4 linked regions of the Styela clava genome follow. The protein of the gene in region 2 purifies or fractionates together with the protein of the main gene of each other region. This does not show direct contact. Links are inferred from orthologs where the notes say so. Each region holds a gene or a part of one and is shown on either strand. Other genes may lie near its edges.

Region 1 (7,866 bases), on a different chromosome or scaffold from region 2:
ATCGCATAATTGACCCTGAAATATTAAAATATTAAAAGACTCAATGTGAAATAAATTATACCCGGTGTATTGAAGTCAGCAATTATCACAGAAAATCAACACCAATCAAGTGCTTAGGTCGGGTTAGGTTACTGTCCCGCCTTGTCCTGATTTATGATAGATAAACAGAATTAAAGAAAACCAGTAGGAAATTAATTAATGTTGGAGCAACGAGAAGAGCAATGACTAAACTCTGAAACTATGCAATAAAAAAATTATATACAAAACATATATTAAATAAATCACCTGCAGCCTTTGTTCATTTAATCCCATTAACAAACTTGAAGGATGCTCAACTGATTCACAAACGTACATTCGGGTTGCCATTTTTGTTTCCTTCTCAATCTTTCCCACTGCGAATTGTAGAAATATAAAGAATGCAGACTATTCAATCAACTTCTTTGTTGGTATGCACAAATATTTGCTCAGAGGTTCCAACTATCACGTATCATGCATGTCTTTATACTGATATAAGCTATCTACACACCAATTTTTTTTATCAAATTATCTAAATATTAATGCTTTTGGTATTGGTTACTCATAAACAGCAATGAAACCTTAATACAGTAATATGTACAAATGTTTAAAATTCTTCTGTTATTTCAGTATTTATCATTTTAAACGCTATCTATCTATGATGGGGTCTTCAAAAAGTTATTAGTTATTGTCCCTTCATACTGAAAATATCTTTATAACGCTGTATTTTAGGAGCATTGTATCTATTGTCATCACGGATGCACAATCATTCAACTTTAAATACCAGAACACATCCCCTAAAATATTGTTATAGCCTAATTCCCGAGTTAGGAAGAAGTCAAATCTTAGAAAACTTCTATTTCTGTAATGGATGTACGATGTACCCAAACCTCTGCATGTACACAACATTCTCTAAATTGTCATAGGCCTACCCATAATCATCCCGTTATCGATCGTGTTGTCATTTCACATCTATTACCCTACTTAGCTCGGAGCTGAACGTTCGCACGGCCAACGCGATAACGAACGCGCACCCTGCTCGTTTCACCCTGCGCGTAAATTTAGGCTCAGGCGGTCTCGTCTGGTCGAGGATTATTGAGATTTGCAGATCTAACACGGGTCAGTAAACCCAAACGTAAACATGTAGTATTCTAGCTCTGTATCGCCGCTTTCGGTAATATTTTCATCGGCATTGACTATGGCCGTCCGCAGTCAGCACAAAGCATTGACAAAAGCTAATGAACATTTCAAATATGACGATTCAACAATTGGCTAGTTTCACAAAAACTAAAATAGAACAATACCCAGATATCTCTCCACTGCGTAGGTACCGTAATTGTGTACCATGGCTATGCATGTGTTACCCGGTTGACAAAAATAAACCCATACCTTCCTTAGTCGCTGATTTGGACAAATGATTATTTGAAATAAATTCATATGTAATTATATTTTCGGGACCTAATATATTGCAATTTGAAGGCACATGTTATCAGAATCATTCTCAGTAAGAACCATTATGTCTTGTAATCAAAAATATGCCGATAAAAGGTGAATTCAAATCGTTGAACCATTGGCATACCGGTAACGAATTCATGATAAAAATTTGCGATAAAAGATTTCCGAAGCAATTGCCATTTGTGCTACCCGAAGCCAGTATTACTTTAATTTGATCCTGAACCTATTTCAAAATAAATATATCTGCAGCAAATAACATGGCAAGTTTTTCTCATTTATGAATTCCCGGTGACACTTTCAAAAAAATTGTTATGCTGTTTTGTGAAGGGGAAGATGATATTACCAAGTTTAAAAAGTTAAAATATGCCTTGACAATACTACAATGGATGTTTCTTCGATCATCTAAGCATGGGTGTAAACATTGGCCCGTTTCGATTTGGGTTCTATTTGACAGTTTTTGGTTATGTTTTCAAAATTTAGGCATATATCGAACGACCTGAAAAAGCTTATAGCAACAAATATCTGAGATTACAATCAATGCCGTTACGTATATATGTGCTGCTCCAACTTGCATTAGTCAAAGATCCAATTACATTACATTAACATATCAATGCCATTGAACAGTGGTGGTAATTGATTTTTGGGGTTATGTCTCTCGTCTTTTTGAATCAGTCTAGACATGAAAAACTATATTCATGATTTTTCTCATCGGTGCGAATAAAAGGTTTCGAATGCCTTTTTTATTAATTTTTTTGAGTATTCTACATTGAAAATGTGAAACAATTAAATGTTAATTTGAATGCATTAGATTTTGAATAGTGGAATTTTATTTTTTTATTTTTATTTTAAGAAAATCGAGCCGTCGAGTATGTTATCATCCATGCGGAATCTCGCTCTAACTCTAACATGTGTATTTTCCCATTATACCTGATGTAGTGTATTGTAGTTAAATTTACTGATTTTAATTAATAGCTGGACTTCGAAAAATGCTTTTCATATCATTTCTACTCCATGTACTTAGATTCTACAATTGAAACGCGATAATTAGACAGGAGTATCGGGCGTCATGAAAACTATGAAAGGAAATGCATTGATATTCAGTGATACAGGTAGGTCTGCGTGTTGATTGGGAACGCGGACAGGTAGGAGGAATTATTTTAGCTGATACCGGTAGGCCTAGTAGTCGGGAACAGTACAGTCATTACACATTTCTGCGTTTAGACATTGCTGCATTAGCTGTTTCAAACAGACTTGTTATTGTTTTGCGAATTATTTCGAGTTTATTGTCTTTACCCGATGGTAACTTGGTGCCATGGATACTGAAATGAGTTTTATTACAGGGATGAATGAAAGTTTGCAATTTATAGAAAGAGCAGAAGAGTGAGCCCAATCGAAAAAGATTAAGGCCTGGTTTAAATAAAGCTGTTTTCAGTGACCGAATTACAGTATTGGGAAGAGATTCATAATAAAGGTTGAAATTGGAGGTCAAAATAAAATTTCTAAGCTTACTAACTCATTAATATTTTAGCTTTTACTGTTTTGCCTATCTCAGTAATTTATTCATATGTAATCTTGGTCATGGGCAATCAAAATTCAGTAAAAAAACACATCGAACATGCTGAAAGGACTGGAGTATGTCAACTCAGTAGCATGGGATTGGATGAATTTCCTGCTCAACTCCTGGGGTTATCAAGTAAATTGAGAACTTTGGATTTATCAAGTAATAAACTCCGTGGACTACCAGAAGCAATTGGGAATTTTGCAGTGCTGAAAAGCATCATCTTGAATTCCAATTCACTGAGCATCTTATGTGATGGCATATGCAAGTTACGAAAGTTGGAAAGTCTTTCCATTTCACACAATCGACTTGTATCACTTCCTCCTGATATAGGAAAAATAACAAGCTTGAAAGTTATAAATTTACAAGGGAATAAACTTGGGGACATTCCCGTTGGTTTGACTCAACTAAAACACCTTGATTCTCTTAATTTATCACATAATTCAATCAAAAGAATACCCGATGAAATGAAAGATCTTCAAGCTGTCGAACTCAATCTTAATCAAAATCAGATCTCTTCAATACCAGAATGTTTGCATCAATGTCCGAGATTAAAAGTTTTGAGATTCGAAGAAAATTGTGTGCCCCTGAATGCAGTTCCTGAAAAACTATTAACAGAATCCAAAATTTCTCTTCTCGCTTTTGATGGTAATTTGTTTGATCAAAAAACATTTCAAGATGCTCCTGGTTATGGCAAATATATGGAAAGATATACTGCAACTAAAAAGAAATTTGACTGAAAAAGATGAAATGCAATATCATAGTCTCTATATGACTGTTCATTGATTCAGATTATGGATTGAGCAATTGAGTCTTGTAGGAGGCTGTTGTTTATATAAAATTTATCATTCATTTGTTATCAAGTCAGAATGTTTATTATCTCATGTTAATTTATGTAGAATGTTTTTAAGTATTAATAATTTAATATAATCAATCATTTAATTTACGAATGTTACCGAACCCCGATTCAAAACTGAAAATAAAATTTATATAGAGAATCGATTTGATGAAATATGAAACTAACAAATTCGAATTTCTACAAGATTAAAATGAGAGGATGACAAAACATGAAATTATCTTCAATTTCTCCTTTAGTATCTATTCAATAATGAGACAGCTCGTGCATGGAGGATTTTTGGATTCCTCTCTGTTGCGGGATGATTCATGCATGTAACTGACTTACTCTACTTTCAAAGTTCGTACATAGCAACAATTACCTGATAAGTATCTCTATATATTATGTCCAATTTAGAATCGTAACTAGCTGAGTTTTTTAGGTGACCTGGAATACTGCAAAGATTAAACTTTATATGATGGCTCTGTCAACAAGGACTGCAAACTTATTTTTATTATTTTGTCATATTTTTGTGCTCTATAGAGATTTATATTCTCTCATGTAACAATTTGCTGCTGAAATAATCCTACAATTATTGAATTGATTTACATAATACATTTAAGATAGGATTAATCTGTTGAGTAATTTAAAAATGCCTGTATTTGATCTCAAGGAAAACATTACATATAGTTTGCCATAATTTATAAACTCCCAATGCCCATTACATGACAGTGAGAGTAAATTTTTATTGTTGAAAATGCTCCTTTTTAATTTGTTTTAGGTACTTTTGTGTAAGAGTAAATGTGTTGTGTATAATAAATGTTTTTTTTTATCAGCTGAAAAGAGTTGAGACTATTTTTGCTAAAATGACAAAAATCATATGTAAGCTTGAAATGGGGTCATATGTGTGAAAGTATTCAGATAATACCCAGAAATTCCAACAAGGAAGATAGTCAAGCACTTCTTTGTAACAAGAAAAAGGGAGAGGAAGACATAGCTTTAAATAATTTACAACTTCGACCGTGGCACTGTCGGAAATATGCAAAATGTGTTACCATTGGACAAAGTTGGCAGAAGCTGAAATGTTGGATTTATCGGAAAAATCTATGTGCATTTTATCCCGATGTTATTTGAGGTAATATTTGATGTAGTATTTACTCCACAGTAACAGTATAAATCATAGTATACAAACTTATGCCTACTTTGGATCACTTTTCTTGTTCTGCAGACAAATTGGAATGTTGAGGTTTTCAATGCTCGATTGAAATTCAATAGCCCTATGCCCCTATCTTCTAGTTTCTTTGATGCTTAGATGTGATATGATATGTTAAACATGTAAAATCCACAAAGCACTGATGATTGCAATAATTCTTTGAATGCTTTCTAATTTCAGAGACATCAATGCTCTTGTCTATGAACGAAAGCTTAATTTAGCCAGAAAGAATGGAAAATATCTACAGTTTGTTGACTCCAAAGTATGAAGAATATTTTATCCCTTTCTATATTATAGAATATTTTATATGATAGTGATAATAGATGCAGATTTCACTAACCTCTTTCATAAATTCATGTCATAATTATCATTAACAACTGAGTTGGAAAACCTTATGAATGATATAATAAATTCTTCCTGTTCTCATAGTGGTTGGACTTAACTTTGGCATTGCAGTGTGGTTATAAAACCCCATTGCCACTGCCTCATGTGTAATAAATTTTGTTGAACAGGAAAGCTTACTAAGAAACTCATTTCAATGGATTCTTGGTCAGAACCCTCAAGTTAAGACCATAAAAATGTATTTCTGATTATGCATCTTTCTTTGTAGCGCAATTCGGAAAGTGATACATCCTTTGAAGAGAATCTGTCTTCATCTGATTGTGAGATTGAAGTCAAAGATCTTGTACCGGTGAAAAATGATTCTCAAACTGAAGATTCACAACCTTGGACAAATTTTGAAGGTAAAAAAATTTGTTCAAGTTTTTATGTCAGTATAAAAAGTATTACTATCAGTACTTTTTTAACCTCATTTGCCTATTATCTATAAAAAAATTACAGTATTGATTTTCAAATGCTTTATAAGTTTCAATTACCAGTACTTTTGTATTTCAACTATTACAACATATTATTCTTGAATCTAATACTTGGAAAATATCCCTATTTGAATACCCAGTCGTTATTCAAACTTTATTTTTTCAAGTTGTTTCGAATCAAGCCTGACTGTGTAATTGTGTATGTACTTACTGTCGAATATAAAAATGTATGTTCGACATTTTATAACTTAATTTAAACTTCAATTTTGCTTATTATGTCTAGAACAAATATGCTCTTATTTGTATGTCATCATGTAGCCTACTTTGTTTTTTAAAAAACTAAAAAAATTGTTTGCTATTGGGTACATTCAGGTGAATTCAAGGATGATGCGGAATTAATGAAAAATTTGGGACTGCCTGTCTCATTTTATGAAACTCGTCTGGAACCAAAGGTACTCATGGAGAAAGTTTTTAAAAATTTCTACTTGTCCATATTCTGTAAAGAATTGTTAGTTTATTAGTAGTTTTTAGCGAGTTATCAAGAACTTTGCTTTAATAATGTATCATTTATCTTTTCATTACTTTGCCTTGGGGAACAAATAGGGAACCAGCGGCGGGAATCTGGTTAGGAATAGTAATGACTCGGTCAGATCCAGATCTGTGGCGCCAGTATATTTAACTTGTGGCTTCAGCTCTGGCACGGAGCTCTATTTTTCAGCCGTAATGCTAGGCTCCAGCTTCGTTTTGGTCTTCATACCATCAATGTTTTTAGTGTTACCACCACAATGAAACATCAGCCCAAGTTGTGAAATCTATGTCTTCAAAGTTTTAGATATACAAATTCAACTTGAAATTAATATTATAGATTGAATTTAGAGGCTGAAAAGAATAGATTTTATTATTTATATAGCTTATTACAAAATTATAAATGTAAAAAAATAATTATAATTAGTTGATTAAGAGCTGAAGCCACTAACATATCTGGCAGCTCTGGCTCCAGCTCCACCAGAATGTCACGGCTTCATGCCTCCAAGCTTCGACTCCGCCCCCAGCCCCGTGTAAAACGGTAATACGAATGAAATAATTTTTCATCTATTTTTATGTTTTTTTTTATAAACAGTCACATAAAATTGACAAGACATCACCAGAATATCTTGATAATTGGTTAAAAAATAGACTCAAAGACGAAGAAGAGCATTTTGAAGGTACGTCAGTTCACATTTCACCAATATATGTAATTTTTTCAAAAACTGGGAGGAACTTGGTATTAAAAGCCTGAACAACTGAATATAACAAATGTATGCATGTTCATTCATCTTGTGCTGGTGAGGAATATAAATAAGCTGACAATTATTTATGTTGGAGACCTGATGCTTGAATATGACTAGACTTGCCTGAAATAACTAATGTGCGATATGGGCAAGTTTTATTACCATTAGATCAGTGTGATGGCTTAGTGTGGAAAGTGTTAGACTTAACTGTGTCTGTATTGCAGAGCACATGCCTCTGTCCTAAATCTCATGCCTCCACCTGCATCCAGGGTGTGATTAAGGTTTTGCCCATTATTTCAACTACAAACACACATACAATTACAAAATTAGATGCAATTATTTCATTTTTATCGTTAGTAGATGACAGTGAAAAATCCAATCATGGAGATAGCAGTGACAATAAAATATATTCAGAATGGTTGGAATACTGGTCTGTTCAGGTAATGTGATGGTGATATAATTGTTTAACAATCCACAATGTCTCTTTGGATGCTATTGATAAATTTTTATTTTTTATTTTTTCAGGGCCCAAATTTAGTTATAGAAAGCTGGAATATTTCACGAAAAAGTTCTAAGCTCGGGTGAGAATTTAGGATTATATATTGGAAGACCTACTTGAGCTACTATTTAAACAAGTTTCTAGAATTGTAATAATGATTTATTTGTATTATTTTTTTGCTGTTTTGGCTTTCAGTCAATGAAAT
Region 2 (7,896 bases):
AAATCTCGTAACAATAGTAAGCTTAGTCTTGGAACATTAGATTTTTCTGGGAGCCATATGCCGTCACCAAAAGAGCCATATATGGCTCGCGAGCCATGGGTTCCCGACCCCTGTTATAGAGTATAGACGCTCTGTATAAAACATGTGTTAAAAAAAGTTTCCTCTTAACTATCATGGTCCTTCATCCAAACGTATCAACATGTTTACACACTCCAGTTAATTGGATTTACATATTTATCCTGGGAAAGAGAAAAGCCGATAAGATGGTTTAACCATATGCCAAACCAGGGCCTTTTGTCCGGTTACCAGTTTATGTTGAGTATGGAATTAGTTAGCCAGTTACTTGTTTTCGGAAGTATGGTAGTTCGTAAGTTATTTTATAGATATTTTTGTGGGTCTTGTTTTAATGAGAAAAACCGAGAATTTACATTTCATTGAATTACATTGGATACTGCTTGTAATAACATCCAGAACACACCATGGTCGTGTATTTTGAGTGACTAACCAGTGAGCTATTTTCATACCTGACTTGGGCTGAAAAGATATAGTTTTTCTCATTATTAAATCAACCTATTGGCTTTCCCATGATAAAATCACCTCTTTAAAATCGACCAAAGCAACTTCGCAATTTTTTTTTTAACTGCGAAACACCATAGTACTCCTAACTTCCTTACAGGGAACACTGTTCCCCAAGATAAATCATATTTAATCGAATATATTCATAAAAAAAACATTCAATTTCACGAACCTCAACTTCCACTTTCTTTTCTCCATAGACGGTGTTCCCGGGTACAAGATTTTTCGTCAACAAAGCGTCATCTTTTCCTCTAGCTACGAATATTCCTGGATGCTTATGGGGTTCAACAACCGTTGACCTTCCACCTCTGAACCCTCCTCCACCTCGACCTGCCATGAATAAAGTCAACTTCAATGTAATATCACAGAAAATGCCATCACATGGCACAAACAGAAAAATTAAATCAAGCAAATGCTGCAATAATGACTTCAGTAAAATTTGCTAGAGAACAGCAGTACAAGCACTTTCACGTTAGAAGTTCCAGTGGCTCTTGGCATTTCAGAGGTCGGTTGCAACTTTGCTCAAAAATTAGTCTGCTTTACTTCTGATTGAGTGGGCGTAGTTCTTGGCAGGAGTGTACCCAGGTGGGTTTAGGGGTCGGAACCCCACACTTTTGTGAAAAAAGGATTTTTCTGTGTTATACATGAAAATTTTTCCTATCCTCAAAACGTTTTTTTAGACATTTAAGTCTCTTGAAAACCCACATTACTGCTTCCAGCCGGACCCGCCAGCTGTCTAACTCAAGTGCAGTTTCAAGTATTTTGTGGCGTCTACAGCTGCCGCAAAACCATGGCGGGATTTCCAAACCACGGCCACTAAGACCAAACCCACGGCGACTGACTTTTTAGCTGCCACAAACCAATAGCGAGCTGCCGTGGTTACGGCAGCAAATCGAATACCACCAATTTTAATGCCGTAACCACGGCAGGTCGGCTGTAATAGCAGGGCTGCCCCTAATCTGCTGATGGTGATAAATATTTGGTGAGTTGGAATGTTTTTCTTATGGATACAGTTTGGATGGATTTGGGGTTAGGGTTAGGGTTTAAGTAGATATAATTTCGCATGATAAACTAAAATATGGTACATGAATTTGTAAATATACCCGTAATAGCGCCATAAAACCATGGCAGGAGACGGCGTGGTACGTTCGTGGCAGGAGCTGCCATGAAGTGGTAAGAACTGCGCCTCGTCTAACTTGGCAATTAGAAATTTCAGAACTCCCTCTTAAAAATTCTTCTGTTGTCGTTCGTAACTCTGATCAAAGAGGAGTATCCTTCATATTCAAGTGACTATAAGTGTCTTTGCTTTGGACAAAAATGTGATGTGAAAATGAATGCTTTGAGTGCTTAATAACGCCAAACAAATCTTTTATGCGTCACACAGACTTTAATGTTAATTACATTAAAATTTCACATCACATTTTTGTTTGGAGTTATTTGAGCAGTTGCGGCGTTCACTTAACTACACCCCAAAATCCTGTAAAAATAACATTGATAAAGAGTAAGTCCAACTTACCACGGGGTCCTCCTCTACCCCCGCCTCGGCCACCAAATCCGCCACGCCCACCTCCGCCAAATCCACCACGCCCACCTCCACCTCTGCCACCGAATCCGCCTCTGCCGCCCCCTCTTCCTCCTCCTCTAAAACCCCCTCTGCCGCCACCTCTTGGTGAAAAACCTGAAAAAAATGAATAAAAGAAAGTTTTAAACAATAAATATGAGATGAACCCGAGAAACTTAGAAGCACAAAATAAAATTGAAAGATTCAACGTACTTTTGATAAGGATAGGATTTACATATTTACCTAGAGAGCGAAAAGCCAATAAGACGACTTAAACATATGAGCATAAATAACAAGTGGAAACCTATCAAATATTCTTGTGACACATAATGTTCAGATGTTACTCTATTATGCTTACTTAAACAAACAACACATCACTGCTGTACCGTAAAAGCGCCCAACTTCGGACAGTTCCTAACTTCGGACAAAATTTTTGAACGGCCATATCTTGGATAAAACGCGCCGTATATTGCTAATTTTAATTATTATAGGTTGCGCTGTTATATTACCGTACCACATAGGTATAAGTTTATATCGACAGAATAATCAGCATAACTGGCGAAAAATGATTGATAAAAACAAATAAATAAAACTGATCGCAGAATCAGGAACGCTAACAAAACCTTAAGTAAGGTTTACCTTCAATTTATGAAAATATCACACAAGTGTTGAGCCAGCATAATTAATATACAAAATACTATATTTATATTAAACACATCAAATAACTCACCAGGTCTCCCCATTTAGAAGATAGCACAAAATCCTTGATAAAGTTCAGTAAGTCACAACGCGAATGCAAACCAAGAGCTAACGAAACTTTAACAGCGCAAATGCAGCCAAGAGACCAGCGTGAACAACACACGTGCAATGGTAAGAGTCACTCAGTCGTATCATTTTGCTATATACGTCATGTTTCGTGATGTAATTTTGAGGGTACGTTATGAATTAAATATTTAAAAATATAGATAAAATTATAATAAATATATTTATATGTTTGTTTTATCTTTATATAATTTTTTCAATAGCTGGAGATAAATGATTTTTGTATAGTTGAACACGGAACCACAACCGATAGTTTCCTGAGTAATTCACTTGCATACAGTTACAAGCCGAATCCCAGGTTTTTGAGTTCACGCCTCGAGTATTCGAAAAATACCTGTTAAATCTTACAAATCTTATCTATTTATGATTTTAAAAGATTTTAATATTGTGCTAATTTACATATTTTCCATCAGATAACTCTTAGTACATTATAATATTATAAAAATGTCGGAAAATCGGCGGGTCTGCGTTCACCCTGTGGTTTTATTCACCATTATTGACAGTTTCGAAAGGAGGAAAGAAGATGCAAAAAGAGTAGTAGGAACACTTTTAGGTAAGAATTGTAAAATTAGTGCTTTTTAATTGTAATTTAGTTATGTGACAATATTAATTCATTAGTAATATTCATTTGTGCTTTTTTTCTGCAAGTTTGATTTTGTTCTTGTGCAATCATGAGTATTTCAAAAGGAAATCAACCTATAAACAAGTCACTGGACAAGCAGAGATCTAGAGAGCTCCTTTTAACTTTTCAATTTTAAATATTTTTATTTTAATTGCTTCAATTAATTTTATGAATACTTCAAATGGCTTCTTCGTCAATTCGATTATAATATTAAAGTATTCATATTTCTTTTTTCACTCGTATCGTGAATATTTTAACTTCATAATCAGCATACAAAACGAAGAAATAATTGATAAAAACAAAACAAAAACGAACAGAATAAAGGTTGGAAAAAGGAAAACATTAAAACTTACAGAATCAAAATATAAAAGTGATGGTAGAGGAAATGGCTTTACTGACAGTAGCATTTTATGTTGCTCTCATTTCCTATCACATTGCTGATTTCTCTATGTCAGGGATGGCGAACCACTTACCCGCGGGTGACAAAGTGACCCACCGCGTTTTATTCTTGACCCGCCGAGGAACGAATAAAATAAAAAAAATGCTAACATATCAGTGATAAAAGTTGATGAAAATGGCTTTCAATTATTCCAACAATAACTAAACTATTATAATGTACCGTCAGTTGGCAGTCAGGGCTGCGATCGCTCATATTCAAATTGTTAATTTTCGGGTCGGTATGGTAATTTTCCAAACTCCTAATCTTGTACGGTATCTTGTTTTTGGTAATTCGTACTCTAATTTCATAAAATAGGGTGTCATAAAAAGTCCCTGATAGAAGAAGTGCTGCATAAGTAAAGCCCAAAACTTCACCAACACAAACAGAAGCTTAGGTTCAGGAGTTTCTTATAGATACAAACATTGCTTAAATATCTGTGACCCACTCTCTTCTGTTCCGCGATAAAAATATAATTTTTGACCTATTCATTGAAAAAGGTTCGCTACCCTTGCCCTATGTCTAGGTTAAATCTTGTTGGAGAAAAATATGTCATGACATGAGCTCATCAAATCTTATCCTAACTTCTTCCAGGTACTGTTGATGCAAACGCAGTTACAGTCACGAATGCTTTCTGTGTTCCTCACACAGAATCAGACGATGAAGTCGCATTTGACATGGAGTACGCCAAGAATATGTACGACCTTCATAGGAAGGTCAATACAAATGAAGTGATCGTTGGATGGTAAGAACAGTTTTCCACATTTGGTTTGTTCCCAAGCACACTTCTCAGATTTCAAGGATGTCCTCAGGAGAATATTTATATAACATAAAAATTAAATTTTTTTTTCAACGGGGCATCTGGTAAGACGACAGACGCATTAAAAATGACGATTTCGCAGTCTTTAAAAATAACTGCGAAGGTGTCACTCACATATCGCAAAAAAAGTGCGCTAATAGTGAACACTGCGGTGCATGATACCAATAATAATAACATTTTTTATCAATAAACACTTCTATTTATTCTTCACCAGGTACGCGACTGGGCATGACATTACCGAACACTCTGTACTTATCCACGAGTATTATACGAAAGAAAGTAAAAATAAAATGCCAGTTCATCTCACTGTTGATACAACACTGACTAACGGAGAACTTGGATTCAAAGCATACATAAGGTGGGGAGTAATGAATAATAAAAAAAATTTCATGAGAATTTTTTCAAGGCAAGGTAATAATGCACTCCCACTCAGAGGTAAAAAAGATTTGGTTCTGAGTGAAGTTGCCTTGAGCTACTGTAAGTCTGAAACTATGTAGATTTATTCATTATAGGTTAGTAAAAGCTGATTGACGAGACTTTAAGCTGTTTAAATCAGGGTTGTCCAAACTCAGGCCCGCGGGCCACATGTGGCCGGCCGCTGCATTATCTGTGGCCCGCGCCGGAATCAGAGGGTAATCAAAAAATCGCATTTGGTGTTGTTTTGCCATAAAGTTAATCAGAAAAATCTTTTAACATATTGTTACATCACTGATGTGACTAGTGTTATGGCACTTTTTTCCAGTACACCTGTAGTATGCGTCACAATAATAGCGGACAACGGAACGTGGTATGTGTACCAGGTTAGGGTTAGGCCATAATTTTATTCCAATTTTCTATATTTTAGTTATATTACTAGTTCTGGGACTAGCTATTTGTACGTGAAATTATGGTCTGACTCCAACCTGTTACACAAACTACGTTCCTGTGTCCGCCATCTTGATTCACATACTACAGGAGTACCATTTTCCGTCGAAATCTTACACTAAATGTAGATATAAAAAGACTTATGCAGGTTTTTTTTGGTGGTTTTTGCATATTTTAGCTTGACAAAAGACAAATACTGACAAGTACTTGTTTTGTATTGCACTGTTTACCTATTCTTGGCACTATTTGTGGCCCGCGAATAATGCTAAAATAATTTTGTGGCCCTCGGAGTTGACAACCTTGGACCACCCTGGTTTAAATCTAAAAGTATGATCAAGGTTGAACACAATTTTATATCAATTAGGTGCCAATTTAAGTGATCCTGGAATACAATAATATATATCTTTTCTTTTTACACAAGCTCACCCATTGGAGTCCCAGGCAAAACCCAAGGAATGATGTTCACACCCGTTGATGTGAAATTACTTCAATACGATGCAGAGAGGGTTGGAGTCGACAGAATTCAAACTGTAAGTATTTATGACTCCTTGCACCACCCAGATCTACGCATCTGCAATAATCAACTTACTGAAACTGCAAGACCCTAGTACTCACCAGGCGAGATTAATGTCTTCATAGGATCTTTATTTGTACAATTTAGTTCAAAGCAAGATACAAGCTCTCACGACCCCTTATGTAATAATATCGGTATTTCTGAAGTATGCGTACCAATCTGGCGGACCCCAGAACGTAGTATATGTACCAGGTTAGGGTTGGGCCATAATTTTATTACAATTTTCCCTATTTTAGTTCTATTACGATTTCAAGTGACTCCCGTAGTATTTGTACCTAAAATTATGGCCTAACCCTAACCTGGTACACACACTACGTTCTGTTGTCCCTCATCTTGGTATGCATACTTCATGAGCTCAATATATCATCATTTTGTAGAAAAATATCAGATTATGTTGGACACAGGACTTGGAAACAACTCAACATTGATTAAAGTGCATTATTGTCTTTCCCCTCACTCTGTGATATAATGATATGATCTCCACAATAAAATTTTATTTGATAATTTGTCAAAAAAAACTAGTAAATGTTCATGAAATTAATTTTCATTCCTGTGCAGCAGCTTATGAATCCCCCATTATGCTCTCGCTATGATATAAATGCATAGTTAATCACAAAATATATTATTTTTTAGAACAGAGTTTCCCAAACTTTTTGAGCTGCGGACTCCTATTTGTGAATATTAGTTTTGACGTACCCCCTTCCTATGTCGTAACAATTTCTGTGCTTAACTAACGAGGAAGGATAATGTTTCTAGAACAGTAGGATACAACAAAACAACGTTAATGTGTTTCGCTGCACAATTTTTGGAGCAATTTGTGGCAAGCAAACTCGTAGGTCCGACTTTACGCAAGTCTCACCTGTATTTTGCCATCATATTGGTGATAGCTGAAAATGCTGCCTCACACATGTAGGTCGTTTTAAAATAAAATTAATTGCATTTTCTGACAGCAATAGATATTCATCCGTATCGCTCAACTAAAGCAAAACAATGGCCTTTTTGATTGAAATCAATCATCAAAGATCTACCAGACTCTTCTTATATTGTTGCGAACCCCCTGTGCAGTCATCACGGACCCCCAGCAGGCCCCAGTTTGGGAAACCCTGTTCTAGAATAACAAATTAGGATGGTATTCCAGGACACTTCTTCCAACAAGGCCGTTAAAATACATAAAAGAAAAACTTTCGCATAAAAAAAAAATTTTCCAGGGTTGCACAAAGAAAGCAGGTGTAGTAACCGTACCATCAGAGTTCCAGCATGTAACAGAAGCAATCGAAAACTTAACTTCAATGCTGGATGTCTGTTTGAATTATGTCAAAAGTGTTCAGGTATGCTGGTGAATTCAGGGTTGTCTGAAGTAAATCACATATTTAAATATCAATATTTAATAAAATTGTGATAGTGTGCAGCGGGGGCTCCCGAAGTATGCGAACCAAAATGGCGGACATCGGAATGTAATATGTGTACTAGGTTAGGGTTAGGCCATAATTTTAGGTATAAATACTACGGGAGGCTCTTGGCTAGTCTTCGAACTGATAATAGGACTAAAATAAGAAAAATTGGAAAAAAATAATCGCCTAACCCTAACCTGTTACCCATGTTACGTTCCGATGTCCGCCAT
Region 3 (7,217 bases), on a different chromosome or scaffold from region 2:
CTATTAGGATTACTAAAATGAAAGAATACTATTCTAAAATAACATAAAATATGTGATAAACTGCCAACTATAAATAAATTGGTGTCGTATTTTTGCGATCTTGGTATTTGTCAAACTTGATTTGTTCTTTCGCACTTGAGATTATTTTTAAGCAAGATATCGCTGTTTAAAAAATCACAATGTCTGGGGAAAATACGAACAATTGAAAATTATTTTATTGCATTCAGCTCCGTCGGTAGTTTCAGAATGAAAAAAGGTACATCGCGGATCGCGCGCACCATTGATTGCGTGCGGCTGCGTCGGTAGTTTCAGAATGAAAAAAAAGGTAAATCGCGCGCACAATTGCTGTGTTTCGATTTCGCAGCTACTACGATGAAAACCTAACATAACACCAAATTTTGTGATTTACAATGTCTATAGAAGCGTTTTCAATCTGAGGTGAGTCTGCTGAAACCAAAGTGTGATCTTCCATTTTAAGTTTCAGTTTAAATATTTTAGAATGCCGCTTTTCAATCAAGAAATTTGAGTTGTGGATTTACCTTTTTATTGATTATTATTTTTAGCATTTCGTCGCCGATGACTATAATATGGTAACATGTTTTTCACATTGAACTCATAATTCCCCACGAGAACAAAAAAGGAATTAACGTCGTCATTGTGTAACAATACATGTATATGCCGAGGGAAATTTTTGATTTAGGGAGAATAAACAGCGGCGTAAAGATGTTTAAAACACGCCATGCTGACGGAAAAAATCGGCGATTGTAACAAAATGAAATAGCGCACGTTACTAACGGCCTTTTAATTAAGTCTTCCAAAAATGTCAAAAAAGAAAAGATTCAGCATTTAGAATAAATAAAGTACTTTTAACTTGCTCGGGAATAATAATCTGAAAGTAACAATTTTAAAATTTATTTTGGGGCTCCGCGAATAATATTCAACCTTTCAAGGGCTCCGCAACACCAAAAGTTTGAGAACCCCTGACCTAATATATATATCACAAATTTAATCATCGTAGAAGATAATCATGATGAGCACATGAGAGAAATGAATGGACTTCATAACGAAAGAGTTTCGGATATGGGTGAATATATGATGAATTATCTTCAAAAAATTACAAAATATTTACGACATATTTGCATTCCTCAACTTTTACTTTCTTACTTATCGATTTTAATCGGTAAGTATGTTGATAGGTATTTGTCTGTTTATCTGTCTGTCTGTTAGATGCACGCGATATCTCACGAAAGTGAGATTGGATCTGCTGCAGATTTTGCATGTGCATTCATCATATTTCGTACCAGTAGCCTATTGATTTTGGGCGAATTATGTCGTATAATAGCGAGTTATTAATTAATTAGTGATGGGACACAAGGTGTCACTATGGAGTAAGAGCGCTGTTTTGGGGGATCTCCTAACTTTCGATCGATAAGTCTTCGGTCTCTGACCGATATTCTCGTTTGTGTTTTATAGATAATTTCCTTGGCGGTGGACATGACGTACATATGACCGACTATAAAAATTACATCGCGAGTTTTGTTTGTCCACCGGGTGGAATATCTGACAAAGGTATGAATAATAGAATTATTTTACCATGAATGATGCTTATTTTGTTAAGTTTGCCTGTTTCGTTTTACAGAACACCAAATGATTTGAGGATTTTTTCCAAGCCCAAATCCAACTTTGTCACAAATTGCTGCATACCTTAATGTTCTTCATCAACTCGGAATTTCCGTCAACTTCCATGCTTCTACATGTTCAGACAGAGACTGGAGTCATGATCATTAAAAAATGTAAATCCCCCTAATTCAGTTATTATTAATATTCAAGATTATATTCTTAGTTGTGTTATAGTTCAAAAAGGTTCAACCAGAAAACATTGTGAATTGTGCCTGTATTGCTATGTACGCTATGTAATAAATAAAGAAAATGAATTGCATATTTTAATGTTGTTTAAGATTGTTGCCGTATGTCGATAAAGGTATCACAATTTATTGGATCATAAAAACAGAGGTAATTATTAATTTACACCAATATTTCCGCTGTCAACAAAGTAAAGAAGTCATGTAATCAAATGACTCCTTGCGTCCATGCGTTATCGTGTTTAGAAGCATGCTAGAGTCTTGAGGTATCTGGGTAAATTGAATAAAATCTACGTGTGTCCAAATAATTTTTTTTATTATCCACACCAAAGTTTAAAAAATGGCACCAACATATCGTTTTATAACAGATCAGTTCTTTGCATGCATTTACAACAATTCAAGTGTATAATACATAACATTACATTATATAATCTACAACATCCTTCATTTATTCATCCTTCATTAAATTGATAATGTTAAATTCGAAATGGTACAATGTTTGAATAGGACAAATTTGCAGTTTGTTTATTGCTCAATTTATTGTAATATACATCTACAACATACTGATATTCGTATTGAAATCCTCTCTATTGCATTTCACTGTTCCAACAAAGTTTTATCATATGTGGCGTTTGAGAAGTAGTGTTGTTGATCGGCCGTAGGCTATAGTATCTCCAAATGGAAATTTCAGAAATGCGTTTGAGAAGTAGTGTTGTTGATCGGCCGTAGGCTATGTATCTCCAAATGGAAATTTCAGAAATGCAATCTGACTCTATTGTGAAGACACAGTATGATGCTGTTGGAATTCCTGAATTCTACTCCTATCTCTCAGAGCATACAGCAACACCAGCATCATTGTCGCAAGTTCAACAATATCTGAAGAACACGACAGTTTGCTAGCATTTTAATGAAAAGTGTTGTCGACCAACAACTGTGTGATTTTCTCGTAAACACAGAAAACGTGATTGTACGACATTACTAAGAGATAAATATGATATTGAAATGATGGGGAATGTCCTGATACACATCGTCCTTCCAATACCGCCACAGATAAAAATCTGACATTTTCAAGTCCAATGGACCTTTCCCCGACCTTTGACCCTCAAAAAATTCTTCCTATACCTTACCATTGCAAAATTTTCGGGGCTTATTTTATATTTTATCATTATGATTCATCGCATACAACAATCTGTTTTTTAAAAATACCGGTAAACAATTTCAGCCTAGTCTATCACAGCTATTTCTATAATAATTTTTTATTACTGCAATTAAATTAAAACTCCTAGGAAGACAGAGTGATCATTGAAATATCTAATTTATATTCAAATTCCCGAAACACAACTGAAAACTAACGAATAGAGTTCAAAAACGCGAAAACGAGGTAATGTTTACGACCACGCCTGAAAATCTGTGTGAGTGAAAAAAGTGTCTGAGCGGATGCGAAAAGGTAGCATTGTTACGTCACTTTTTGAATCTTGCTGATTGGCCAATGTCACGAAGTAAACAAGGAAGTCAATGCTCGGGGAAAGGTCCATGAATGAGATGCTTCACCTTTTCTGAAATTGTTTACTTATCCAATCAAGGGCGTGATTTGATATGCCGATGGGGCCCTGTCTTGCTGGATACACGTCTGTCTCCTATATGCCTAAGGGGTGATTTCGAACATTTTCTAGATAGAACATTAATTTTGTGCAAAATGTCCAGGATTCCTGAACTTTTTGCGTTCTTTGTGTCCAATAAAAATCGAATGGCATAAAATAGAAAACTATCCAGTATCCACGAGCCATGGCGAAACCAAAGCGATCACCGTGGCGTAGATTCACTTTGGTCAAGCGGTCAAACGAAACGTAAATTTAACATTTACTGATGCGTAACAAGTAACTAGCACGTGTGTGTCGAGCGAGTCGATGACGGCCCTAAAGTATATTCCAGTTCTCGAACAGCGACGTTCGGCGCTGGTTAACGCAATGTGAGATCGGCTTAATTTGTTATTGACGTTATACACATGGAGTTGCCGTATGACCTCCATTATAGTACATCGTGGCGATGGTTATATATATTTTGTGATGGGTCTTAGAAATAGTTCAGAGGGTTTTTTGTGCTTGACCTTACACTTTCAGACTTCACAGCCTTCTGGCCTCAAGAATTTTTGTTTTGTCGATCGGTGGTGGAAAACACATGTCTAGTGAGAATGTTTAAACGTTGCAATTTTAATCTTGTGATATAGAAGTGAGGATGTTGTATATAATAGGAAAAATTCTTTGATATCTCAGAACTCTTTTTTCATATTTAATTCTCAATTTATAATATTTTAAATATGGCAGTACTGTACATCTGCTTCAGTAGGCTACTTCATACTTAAACCGAAACTGTGGTTTTGGCCCAGCCAAATTCAATGATTCAAAATATTGGATCTTACTGCAGTCTGCAGTACTGTGTCAATTCTGAATTTGATGGATTGCATTAACCAGCTAATACCAAGAACTTGAGGAAACTCCAAAATTCCTATTAGGCTATCAGAGGAAAAGGAAATAGATTTTCTTTAATTAATGAAGAATAATGAATTTCTTTAATTAATTTAATTTATTATACTGAATCTTCATAGACCATACCATGGAATTTTGAAATAATGGGACATAGTCTTAAGATTAGTAAGTAGACTATCTACAGATCTAAACTATTTTGGACTGTTAGAGTTCCATTTTCTAAGCTTCACATCACACTGTCACATGCTTTTAATTTTAAGGTAGCCAAGTTCAATTTATGAGTAACTCTGTTGTATGTTATTTGATTTGTCTCTCACCGTTTCATAAGTATAAAAGCTAAAAAGAAGAAAAATTTAAACACAATCCTTTGAAATTATATCCAACTCGAGTTGCAGCATAACATATAATATTATTATTTATTTAATATCTGCCTGAGGCTATTCTGCCCATGATTACATTGTCAGATCTATGTTTGTATTATTATACATGAATCAAATCAATTTGTTACATTTTCCAGTAATGGTATAAGATAACACAGTAGCAAAATGTTGGTGCTATTCGAATCACCAGCTGGCTATGCCGTATTCAAGGTTCTTGATGAATCAAAAGTCAGAGAGGCCGGAGACTTGCAATCGCTTTTCAGCACAGCAGAAAGTGCATCCAAAATGGTCAAATTGAAACATTTCAAAAAATTTGAAGATATGACTGAAGCCCTTTCAGCAACAACCGCAGCCGTGGAAGGAAAGTTATGCAAGCCTTTAAAAAAATTGCTCAAGAAAATAGTTGCAAATGAAGCACATGAAAAACTTGCGGTTGCTGATGCAAAACTTGGAAATGCAATCCAAGACAAGATGGATTTAATGTGCTTGTATAGTCCAGCTATACATGAGTTAATGAGAGGAATACGTGCTCACATGACCAGTCTTATAACTGGGCTGCCTGAGAGCGATGTGACAGCTATGGCACTTGGACTCGCTCATAGTCTTTCTCGATACAAATTGAAATTTAGCCCTGACAAAGTTGACACAATGATCGTCCAAGCTATATCGTTACTTGATGACCTGGATAAAGAATTGAATAATTATATAATGAGATGTAGGGAATGGTATGGTTGGCATTTTCCAGAACTTGGTAAAGTTGTTACAGACAATCTTGCTTTTGCAAAGACCGTAAAGAAAATGGGAATCCGAACAGAAGCAATAAATTGTGATTTGTCAGATATTCTTCCAGAAGAAATAGAAGAGCAAGTGAAAGAATTGGCAGAAGTATCAATGGGTACTGAAATATCTGAAGAAGATATCAGCAGGATTACTTACTTATGTGAGCAAATCATCGAAATAACTGATTATAGAGCACAGCTCTATGACTATTTGAAAAATCGTATGACAGCAATTGCACCAAATGTCACAATACTTGTTGGTGAACTTGTAGGTGCAAGGTTGATTGCACACGCTGGTTCTCTTCTTAACCTTGCTAAACATCCAGCTTCAACAGTGCAAATTCTTGGAGCTGAAAAAGCACTTTTTCGTGCTTTAAAAACCAGAAAAGAAACGCCTAAATATGGATTGATTTATCATGCTTCACTTGTTGGACAATCCAATCCTAAACACAAGGGTAAAATCTCAAGAATGCTTGCTGCAAAAACAGCCCTTGCTGTTCGTTATGACGCTCTTGGAGAAGAGTCCTCAACTCAGTTGGGAGTGGAAAATCGTGCTCTATTAGAAATGAGATTGAAGGCATTGGAAGAAGGAACATCATTTAAAATTAGCGGAACTGGAAAAGCCAAAGCCCAGGCTGATAAATGGACAAATAAAAGCGAGGTTAAAATGTATGATGACGCCAGGGATTCAACTCTGCCAGGCCCTAAGAAAAGAAAACATGAAGAAGCCTTGATCGTGTCCGATGGTAAACTGACTGCGCCCTGTACTCCAACTGCTGAACCTGTTAAAAAGAAAACTAAAAAAGAGAAAAAGATCAAACTTGAAACACAGGAGTCTGACGATGATCTTAACACATCCAGTGCTACCAATGGAACGGAAGTTGTTAAAAAGAAATCTAAAAAAGATAAGAAAGTCAAGACCGAAGTACAGGAGTCGTCACCAAAAAAGATCAAGACTGAAGTACAGTCTCCACAGGTGGAAGGCAAACCGAAAAAGAAGAAGAAAAAGTCAAAAAAGGAGAGTGAATGATTTCATAAGAACATTAACGTGTTTTAATTTTTTTTTCAAATCTTTCATTTGAGGTGATTTTTTGAGACTTTCGCTTCAGTGCTTCATCATGTATGCACTGTAGTGTGCTTCTGTACCATTTTAATATCACTGCCAAATATTAATAGATTTCAACCATGGAAGATGTCGGAAGGATTTGATTGTAACAAGTGATGGGATCCGGGGGTTTGCGCGAATCTATTTATTTTCTGAATGAGAGAACCTGTTGTTAGTAAGTTTAATCCAAAAGAGAACCCATTCTTAGAATTTTGAATTCCATCACCATTTGTAACCAACCTAACCTTGTAGCAGACCTGGGAAGTAATTTTGATAGAATTTCCCAAACAAGCCTTCAATAATTTCTTTCTTACCACTATGTCGTACTCCTATTATTGGAGCTGCACATACTTTGCGGTAGCTAAGAATCTGAATAATCGGACTGTTTTTGTGAAATGAGAAACACAAAGCAGACCATACTTTTTCATACTCAGAACAAGGTCCTGTACAAGCACCCATTGACATGTAAATAGCTATATTTGGGATGACCAGAATTTATTATACTCCTGGGTAATGTGGTTGGAATTGGATTTAATCATGAGATTGTAAAAAGCTGTGAAGCCCACATAAGTCAAGTCTACTAATTATAATACATTTATATCACA
Region 4 (7,275 bases), on a different chromosome or scaffold from region 2:
AATTAAACCAAAACGCTGACTGTGTCATTCCTAACCATTCTTAACAAATGAAATTGTACCATGATTGCTAAAACCTCCATTGGAAAAAGCAGCTCATTCAACTCTAACATTAATCTATAGTACTGGTCGAGAGATTGTGGACTCAGACAAAGCCAGGTAAATAAATTATGTCATAAATGATAAATCAGGTGACGAATCATTAAACTATTTGAGTTGAGCAAATAAGAAAACTTCAAACTCAGACTTTATCAAACTGTCAGCTCACATTTCAAATAAACAAAGCTGTTAAATATTACAGCACCAGACACACAATATGATTTAAAAAATGAAAAGGTGGAAATGGGGCAGATACAGACCGTATGAAAAATTTTAAACATCAGCTCCAATTCGAAGAAATAATAAATTCATGTATATCAAATATGGCAATGGGTCCCGGATGAAACACACAGTTAGTAAAAATAAAAACCATACTAAGGATAAAATCCACCAAACACCAAGATATATTTGGTCCCAAACTAAAGCACATTTGCTCTCAAGTCCCAAGAAAATCAAGATAATAAAACAAAGGTTTAACCAAGAAATACTACCCTTCAGTAAAAAAGGTTTCTAAGTTCAAAAATTAACCCCAGGCAGACTCATGGACACTGTGACAAAAATGTAAGAATTTCATATCATGGGATTATAATTCATATAATCAATATGTTATGAGTAATTGACAATTGTGAAAATTAGACATTATTACAGATTAGATCAATTCATCAAATTGAGCATTATTTTTTTTAACTGTTCAAAAAAAACTTAATGAACCACCATATATAGCCTCCACTTTAAGTGATGTATAGGATACATACATGAACCGTTCATAATTTTTTTGTAACAATCCTGACTCATATCTGATATTGTTCAATGCATACATGATCACCTAAACTTTATTTCGATTTTATGGTCCCTTTTTTTTTATTGTTTGTGGTTTTCTTTGACTTTATTTCCAGTTTTTTCTTTTTCGCTGGAGTAACAGATACTACTTTAGAAGATTGATCGTCACTAGAAGAATCATCAGAAGAAGAATCTTCACTACTGCTACTGCTTGACGAAGCTGACTTCTTCCTCTTCGTTCCAGCTGCTATAGGAGTAGATTTTGCAACAGGCGTTCTTTTTAAAATGCTTGTATTAGCGCTAGGTTTTGCAACCAAATTTGCTTTCTTTTTATCATCTTCATCACTAGAAGAATCATCATCAGATGAAGATGATTCTTTTGTTTCAGTTTTATTTATCGTAACCTTTTTTTCATCTTCAGATGTATCATCTTCATCTGAGGAGGAAGATTCTTCTTTCTTAATAACTTGTGGCGTATTTTTTACCTCCGGTTTCTTTGCAGATTTTGCATCCTCCTCTTCACTGGAATCATCACTATCAGTATCCTCTTCTGATGATGAAGAATCTTCCTTCTTTTTGATCTGAGCCTGAACAGGTGCTGCCTTAGGCTTCTCATCTTCTGAATCTGAATCACTGCTTGAATCAGAGGTTCCGGAATCTTTTGTTTTTGTTACTGAAGTATTTGTTTGCTTTGGTTTCTTCTTGTCATCATCTTCAGAAGAATCTTCTGAACTATCTGATGAGGATTCTTTCTTAGTATTTGTGGGTTTTGTTACTTTAGCATCTGCCTTTTTCACATCCTCATCTTCACTGGATGAATCCTCATCCTCACTTGAAGATTCTTTTTTAGAAGTTTTCAAATTGGTTTTCTCACTTATTTTTTTTTCTTCTTCCTCATCACTAGAGGATTCATCTGAACTTGACGATTCTTTTTTATTAGCAACTGGTTTGACAACTGCTTTCAATTTTGTTTCCTTTGGTTTTTCCTCGTCTGATGACTCTTCTGAGCTGCTAGATGAGGATTCTTTTTTCGAGTTAATAGCAGGTGCAGTTTTCTTTATAACAGGCTTGGTTTCTTCTTTTTCATCATCACTAGATGTGTCTTCAGAACTTGAAGAATCTTCCTTTTTAGCTACAGCTGAAACATTTTTAGCATTTTTTGTTTCAACGTCTTTTTCTGATTCAGAAGATGATGAGTCAGAACTTGATGAATCTTTAGCTTTTATTGTCTTTGACACACTCATCGAGTTTTTAGAAACCTTCTCCTCTTCTTCACTGTCGCTGTCTTCTTCCGATGAAGATTCTTCCTTTTTCTGGTTCACTTTTGCTGGAGAAGTTTTTTTCTTTACTAAAAGTTTCTTTTTCGGTTCATCCTCAGAATCAGAAGATTCATCATCAGAGTCTTCACTGGAATCTGATGATTCTTTCTTTTTCACAGGTTGCTTTTTCACTACTGCAACGCTTTTTGAAGTGTTCTCCTCATCTGATGAATCTTCAGATGAGCTGGAAGATGATTCTTGTTCCCTTGTTTTCTCTAATTTACTCTTCTTTGGATCTTTCTTTCCATTCAACTCTGAAACTGTAGTTTTTACTAGATTCCCAGATGCGGATTTCTTATTTTTTTCATCGCTACTTGAATCTTCCTCTGAGCTATCCTCTTCAGAGCTAGATTCTTTTTTCTTATTATTTACAGTCGCTTTTACTTCTTTCTTTTTATCACTGTCTGATTCAGAATCATCAGAGGATGTATCCTCACTGGATTCAGAAGAATCCTCTTTCTTGGGGATAATTTTAGCCTTTTTAGCTGGAACTTTCTTCTCTTCATCGGATGATGACATATCACTTTCAGAGCTAGATGGTGGATCGGCTTTCCTTGGTCTTTTTGTAGTTTTTCCATTTGTTGTACTTGTTCCATTCGGTGTTTTTTGGTCTACTTGAGTTTCCTTCCATAATTGATATGCCTCTTTCAAAGTTGGTTGATCCGACTCTGGTAATTTAGTGTCCGTGATTTTCCGAAACTTTTTTGCCAATTTGGTCATTTTACGATCTATAAAATATTTATAAATCAATCGTTCAACGTCGCATGATTGCGCGGCCATCTTGGCAACAACTGAGCTCTTTTCAGTAGGTATATTTTTCATTGGAAAATTTTATTCTGAATTTTATTAATAAGCTGAAAAAAAAAAACAATATGCTAAGATTGTGAACAAAGCTGAAGCTAACAAAATATGATTGAGATAACTTTTTCAGAAGTGGGCAATGAAAGCATGTCTAAAACAATGTGTACAAAAACCTTATAAAAAGAGTCAATGTAATGGCAGTGAGGCAATCAAAAAGTTTGGCAAAGCACATAATAGGTTGACAACGAGATAAGCAAATGTTATGCAAGTACAGTAGAATTGAATGCTATATAAATATCAATAATGAATGATCTTTTCGAAATTCCAGTCCAACTGATAAACATTCTGAACAAAAATCTAATTTTTATTAATCTTGAGCACCATCTAGCGGAGAGAATGTATAATATGTATATTAAGTCAGCATCTGGCAATATATTTGAAAACCTTATTTTAAAAAGACCACTGAAGAAGATTTGTTGATATTATTTTTTACAGCATTCAATACAAAAATAATAAGGGTTTAAACTTCGAAGTTTAAACTTTTCATTGATCTCGAGCCAGGATATGCATATTTATTTAAAATGGAATTCTTGACAATGTATCACAAATACTACACAAACAAAAATGGATATGCTAAATTGCTAATAACAAATTATATCATTCAATGATTGTTTTGAAAGAAGATAAATGTTCATCCTGGGGTAGAGAGAACAAAAGACACAAGGCCGCTTATTTACATAAAGGCTGTGATTTGAAAAAAATCTAACTTTACGAGGAACAAGGTATGAAAAATAGTACAAAAAGAACAGTCTATTCAATAATGTGTAACAAATGAGTTGAAATGAGATTAAAACTTCAATTACATGAAGTTATAAGCAAGTTCTTTATTCAATAATATACCACTGATTTTAAATCTCATATTTCCTTATGAATGCAGCCCTAAAATGAGCATATATTCAAATTAAATGTGGCATATACCGCAAAGTTATACACAAATTAGGTGCCGAAGAGATAAGAGGTGTAGATTATTTATTCACCTGGGTATCCTGGCTTCCACAGAAATATTTTTGGAGTCCATAAGGTGGGAAAAAAATAGCAAAATAGCCGTTATTACAAAATAGGAACAAGTCTACTAACCAACAAGGTTACAAGGTAACACAAGACATTGTTCCCATAAATGAACATGTTCACTCGCTCTGTTATCTAATCAGACTCAATAAAAGTATTGATATTGATTATTCTTGAGTATCTTATGCATACACAAAAATGTTTTTGATATTGATTATTTTCTAGAAGATCATTTTCCTCGTTTGAATTCCTTTTTCACTTTCTTTGCAGGTGTATTCTTGCCCTTGGGATCAGATTTTCTTTTCACAGCTGGTGATGCTGATACTTTGACTTTGAAAAAGTCATCCAGACGGCCTTGTGTACTTTGCTTCTTACTATTCATTAACTTCTTGATTCCATTTCGAATTCTATCTTCACTGAAACCTTTTTCTTTGCACATAAACTCGATGAGTTTTTCTTCATCTGGTTCTTTCCATTTAAGTTCAATGTCATCACATGGAGAAACATCAGGTTCAATAAACAATGATCTTGCTTGAGCAAATGCCCAATCTTCTGGTACTGTGTACTTTTTCTTGTCAATATTCCCCAAAATATCTTCAATTGTTTTATGTTGTTTGATGAGGTCATAGGCACGTTTAGGTCCAATACCTCTAATGGACCCGCAATAGTCGCAACCAAGTAAAATACACAAATCAATGAATTGTTCCTGTGTAATTTCCATTTCTTGAAGCACTTTTTCTAGAGTGAATTCCTGTATTGGCATTTTTCTTGCTTCGCTGAATGTCATATGTCGTAGAAGTCTATTGGATGCAAATGTAAGAGCATCCATATCTTCTGTGGCCGTTGCATAAACTTTTCCAGCTTTTACCAAAGTAGCACATTGTGCTTCTGCTTCAGTTGGTGCAGAGACGACAGGGACTCCCATAAAAGTAAGTAACTTTTTACAATCATCCATATGCTGTTTAGTGACTTTCACGAGTCGTCTTTGAAATTTGTCAACTTCTTCTTGCTCTCCTGCCTCTGTTGCTTCCGCAAGTTTCTTCTCAGCTTCCTCTCGTCTTTCCTTTCGCTTTTCGAGCTCACCAGACTTCATCTGAGGAGGTTTACCATCGAAGACGTAAACAGGCTTTATACCATTGTCTAACATTCGAATTGTACGATAAAACAATCCTGCAAGATGGCTAGTTACTTCTCCTTCATCATTTGTTAATTGATTTCCATCTTGTCTAATTGCAATCAGAAATTGATAAATGGCCATTGAGGCGTCAATCGCAACTTTTCGACCGAAGTAATTTTTAATGCTATTTTCTCTGACAGCAGATGGGGCTTTGTCGAATATCAACTTTGAGAGACCGAGAATTCCCATTATTCTGTTGTTATAAGACAACTGGGTAAGCTAAAATCTATAAAAAAAGACATTGAAAATGCTTTAAAATGGAAGCAGATTTTTTTCAGTAATTAAAATTGCAAGAGGTCCAAATGAAATGAGGTTCATGGAAAAGTCAGAAGTTTGATTTGACCATGCTGAGAGTTGAAAGCAGTGAATAACCATCGTCAGATAGTCTGCCCCCATTGCCCCAAATTTTTTAGATTAATTGAAAACAAGATTTGCACTAAAAAGTATGTTAGTTTTTCTCTAGTCAAATAGGCATTCAAACCAGAGGTTTAAACTAATCTTTTTTGAACCTGGCTAGTAAGCCCCAGTTCTGCAGTTGCTTATCTTTGTTAAATGTCACCCATGGCAAAGAAAATGCACTAGAAATGATTGAGTTTTAATTGTATTCAATTTTAAAATTATACTATTGAAACATGTTACAATTTAATTCCCCCCTCTCCCTGTCCAAACGAGGGTAGTTATGAAGATGCTAGGTCCCATATGTCGAATAAGCCATATACCTACCCTCCAAACGATGTCCATGGCACGAGCTAAAGCTGCCGTACCAAAAATCGACAACAAAATGGTCAATGTTATGGCTACTGTCACAAGCTAAGACAGTAAGATGTCGTTTAGTAGATTATATCATATTTATTTGTTGCATAAAACAGCTCCGCATGAAGCCTGATCACTCACATAGTGCAGGAGTTATTTTTTACCTAATTTACCCAATGTTGATGAAATCTATCTTGCAAGTACAGAAGTAGCAAGTAGGTATGTTTTTAAGTCATATGCCAGGTTACATTACATGGTGAAATTGCCTTGGCTGGTAGATATCTTTATTTGACATGTCTGCATGTTCAGATGTCAAAATGTTTATTTAAACCTCAATTTTTTAGCAACTTCTTGGAAGTTACTTCCCCAAATTTCGAGCAAATTTCAGTAAGTGTGTTGTCATTTTCAACCCACCATACTGCCATAAAATGCTGAAATGACAGAATGTGAAAATTGTCAAAAAAAATAATAATTTTGATGTATTTTGCTGTGATTGATAATATCACGACTGGCATATTAATAAATGTTACGACGCCGAATTTCTAAAATAAATGGGCAAATCGAATTTTGCCGTTTACTGGTCTACTAAGCTACAGGAGTGGCAGAGTGGTGACTCCACTACGGTCCATGGGCCGGCCCCATCAGGAAAAATTCAATTATCTTACCAAAATTTTCAATTTTCACAAAATTGTCAATATTCGAACCAAAAAAATATACTCCTGTAGTATGTGTACCAGGTTAGGGTTAGGACAAAAAAAATCCGATTTTTTACATTATAGCCTAGTTCTATCATGAGTTCGGGGACTGTCTGTGTTAGCCAAGTGAGTCGCGGCCCATAGCCTGATGGGCCGAGACCCAATTCTATGGGCCATGGCCCTGGCCCATGGGCCGCAGAGGAGTCACCACTTCCACTCCTACCAAGAGTCTGAAAGTCAGTGGTTCCATATCGGTACCGGTAACGTCTAACGATATCGGCACCTATCCATCCGAAGTGAATTGTAATTACTTATTAATCCACCAAGAGTCTGGAGGTCAGTGGTTACAGAACGTCTTCTGATATCGGCACCTATCTATTGGACGTGAATTCTACTCAATAAATCTGTGCAGGACAGGTCGTTTCAAACGTCTGCGAAATTGGAATAACCTCGTGCTTGAAGCTCATTTTCTGCATTTGGTAGAACTTGCACGTAACTATGAAAAACGCAGAGCGGCATCATGTGGAAAAGCTTTTGCGACCGTGGAACATTCGCGCGAACATGAGTACGTTGGCAAGAACGTAGA

What was found.
Region 1: the proteins of rRNA 2'-O-methyltransferase fibrillarin-like (region 2) and uncharacterized protein LOC120345426 purify together in Homo sapiens (affinity purification with mass spectrometry; 3 studies listed by BioGRID and IntAct, counting the BioPlex papers as one, with this or other methods). This does not show direct contact. The link is inferred for Styela clava from reciprocal best matches to the Homo sapiens genes FBL and TGS1.
Region 3: the proteins of rRNA 2'-O-methyltransferase fibrillarin-like (region 2) and nucleolar protein 58-like purify together in Homo sapiens (affinity purification with mass spectrometry; 7 studies listed by BioGRID and IntAct, counting the BioPlex papers as one, with this or other methods). This does not show direct contact. The link is inferred for Styela clava from reciprocal best matches to the Homo sapiens genes FBL and NOP58.
Region 4: the proteins of rRNA 2'-O-methyltransferase fibrillarin-like (region 2) and uncharacterized protein LOC120330391 fractionate together in Homo sapiens (co-fractionation; 3 studies listed by BioGRID, with this or other methods). This does not show direct contact. The link is inferred for Styela clava from reciprocal best matches to the Homo sapiens genes FBL and NOLC1.

What each region holds. Positions count from the first base shown.
Region 1 is NC_135257.1:9,444,624-9,452,489, forward strand, and holds the start of uncharacterized protein LOC120345426, read left to right. Parts: upstream 1-4,851; 5' UTR 4,852-4,909; coding exon 4,910-4,998; intron 4,999-5,256; coding exon 5,257-5,338; intron 5,339-5,686; coding exon 5,687-5,819; intron 5,820-6,263; coding exon 6,264-6,343; intron 6,344-7,011; coding exon 7,012-7,096; intron 7,097-7,519; coding exon 7,520-7,602; intron 7,603-7,687; coding exon 7,688-7,743; intron 7,744-7,866. Other genes in the region: uncharacterized protein LOC120345327, read right to left, coding at 1-15, 286-366; leucine-rich repeat-containing protein 57-like, read left to right, coding at 3,049-3,768. UniProt on the Homo sapiens protein: Catalyzes the 2 serial methylation steps for the conversion of the 7-monomethylguanosine (m(7)G) caps of snRNAs and snoRNAs to a 2,2,7-trimethylguanosine (m(2,2,7)G) cap structure.
Region 2 is NC_135253.1:21,920,968-21,928,863, reverse strand, and holds the start of rRNA 2'-O-methyltransferase fibrillarin-like, read right to left. Parts: upstream 3,013-7,896; 5' UTR 2,881-3,012; coding exon 2,868-2,880; intron 2,255-2,867; coding exon 2,093-2,254; intron 907-2,092; coding exon 749-906; intron 1-748. Other genes in the region: eukaryotic translation initiation factor 3 subunit F-like, read left to right, coding at 3,404-3,512, 4,612-4,762, 5,052-5,195, 6,123-6,231, 7,484-7,603.
Region 3 is NC_135257.1:6,828,881-6,836,097, forward strand, and holds nucleolar protein 58-like, read left to right. Parts: upstream 1-4,840; 5' UTR 4,841-4,893; coding exon 4,894-6,537; 3' UTR 6,538-6,698; downstream 6,699-7,217. Other genes in the region: uncharacterized protein LOC120346509, read left to right, coding at 1,019-1,084, 1,474-1,569, 1,640-1,656. UniProt on the Homo sapiens protein: Required for the biogenesis of box C/D snoRNAs such as U3, U8 and U14 snoRNAs. Part of the small subunit (SSU) processome, first precursor of the small eukaryotic ribosomal subunit.
Region 4 is NC_135261.1:11,303,332-11,310,606, reverse strand, and holds the start of uncharacterized protein LOC120330391, read right to left. Parts: upstream 3,018-7,275; coding exon 930-3,017; 3' UTR 1-929. Other genes in the region: flap endonuclease 1-like, read right to left, coding at 4,294-5,430. UniProt on the Homo sapiens protein: Nucleolar protein that acts as a regulator of RNA polymerase I by connecting RNA polymerase I with enzymes responsible for ribosomal processing and modification.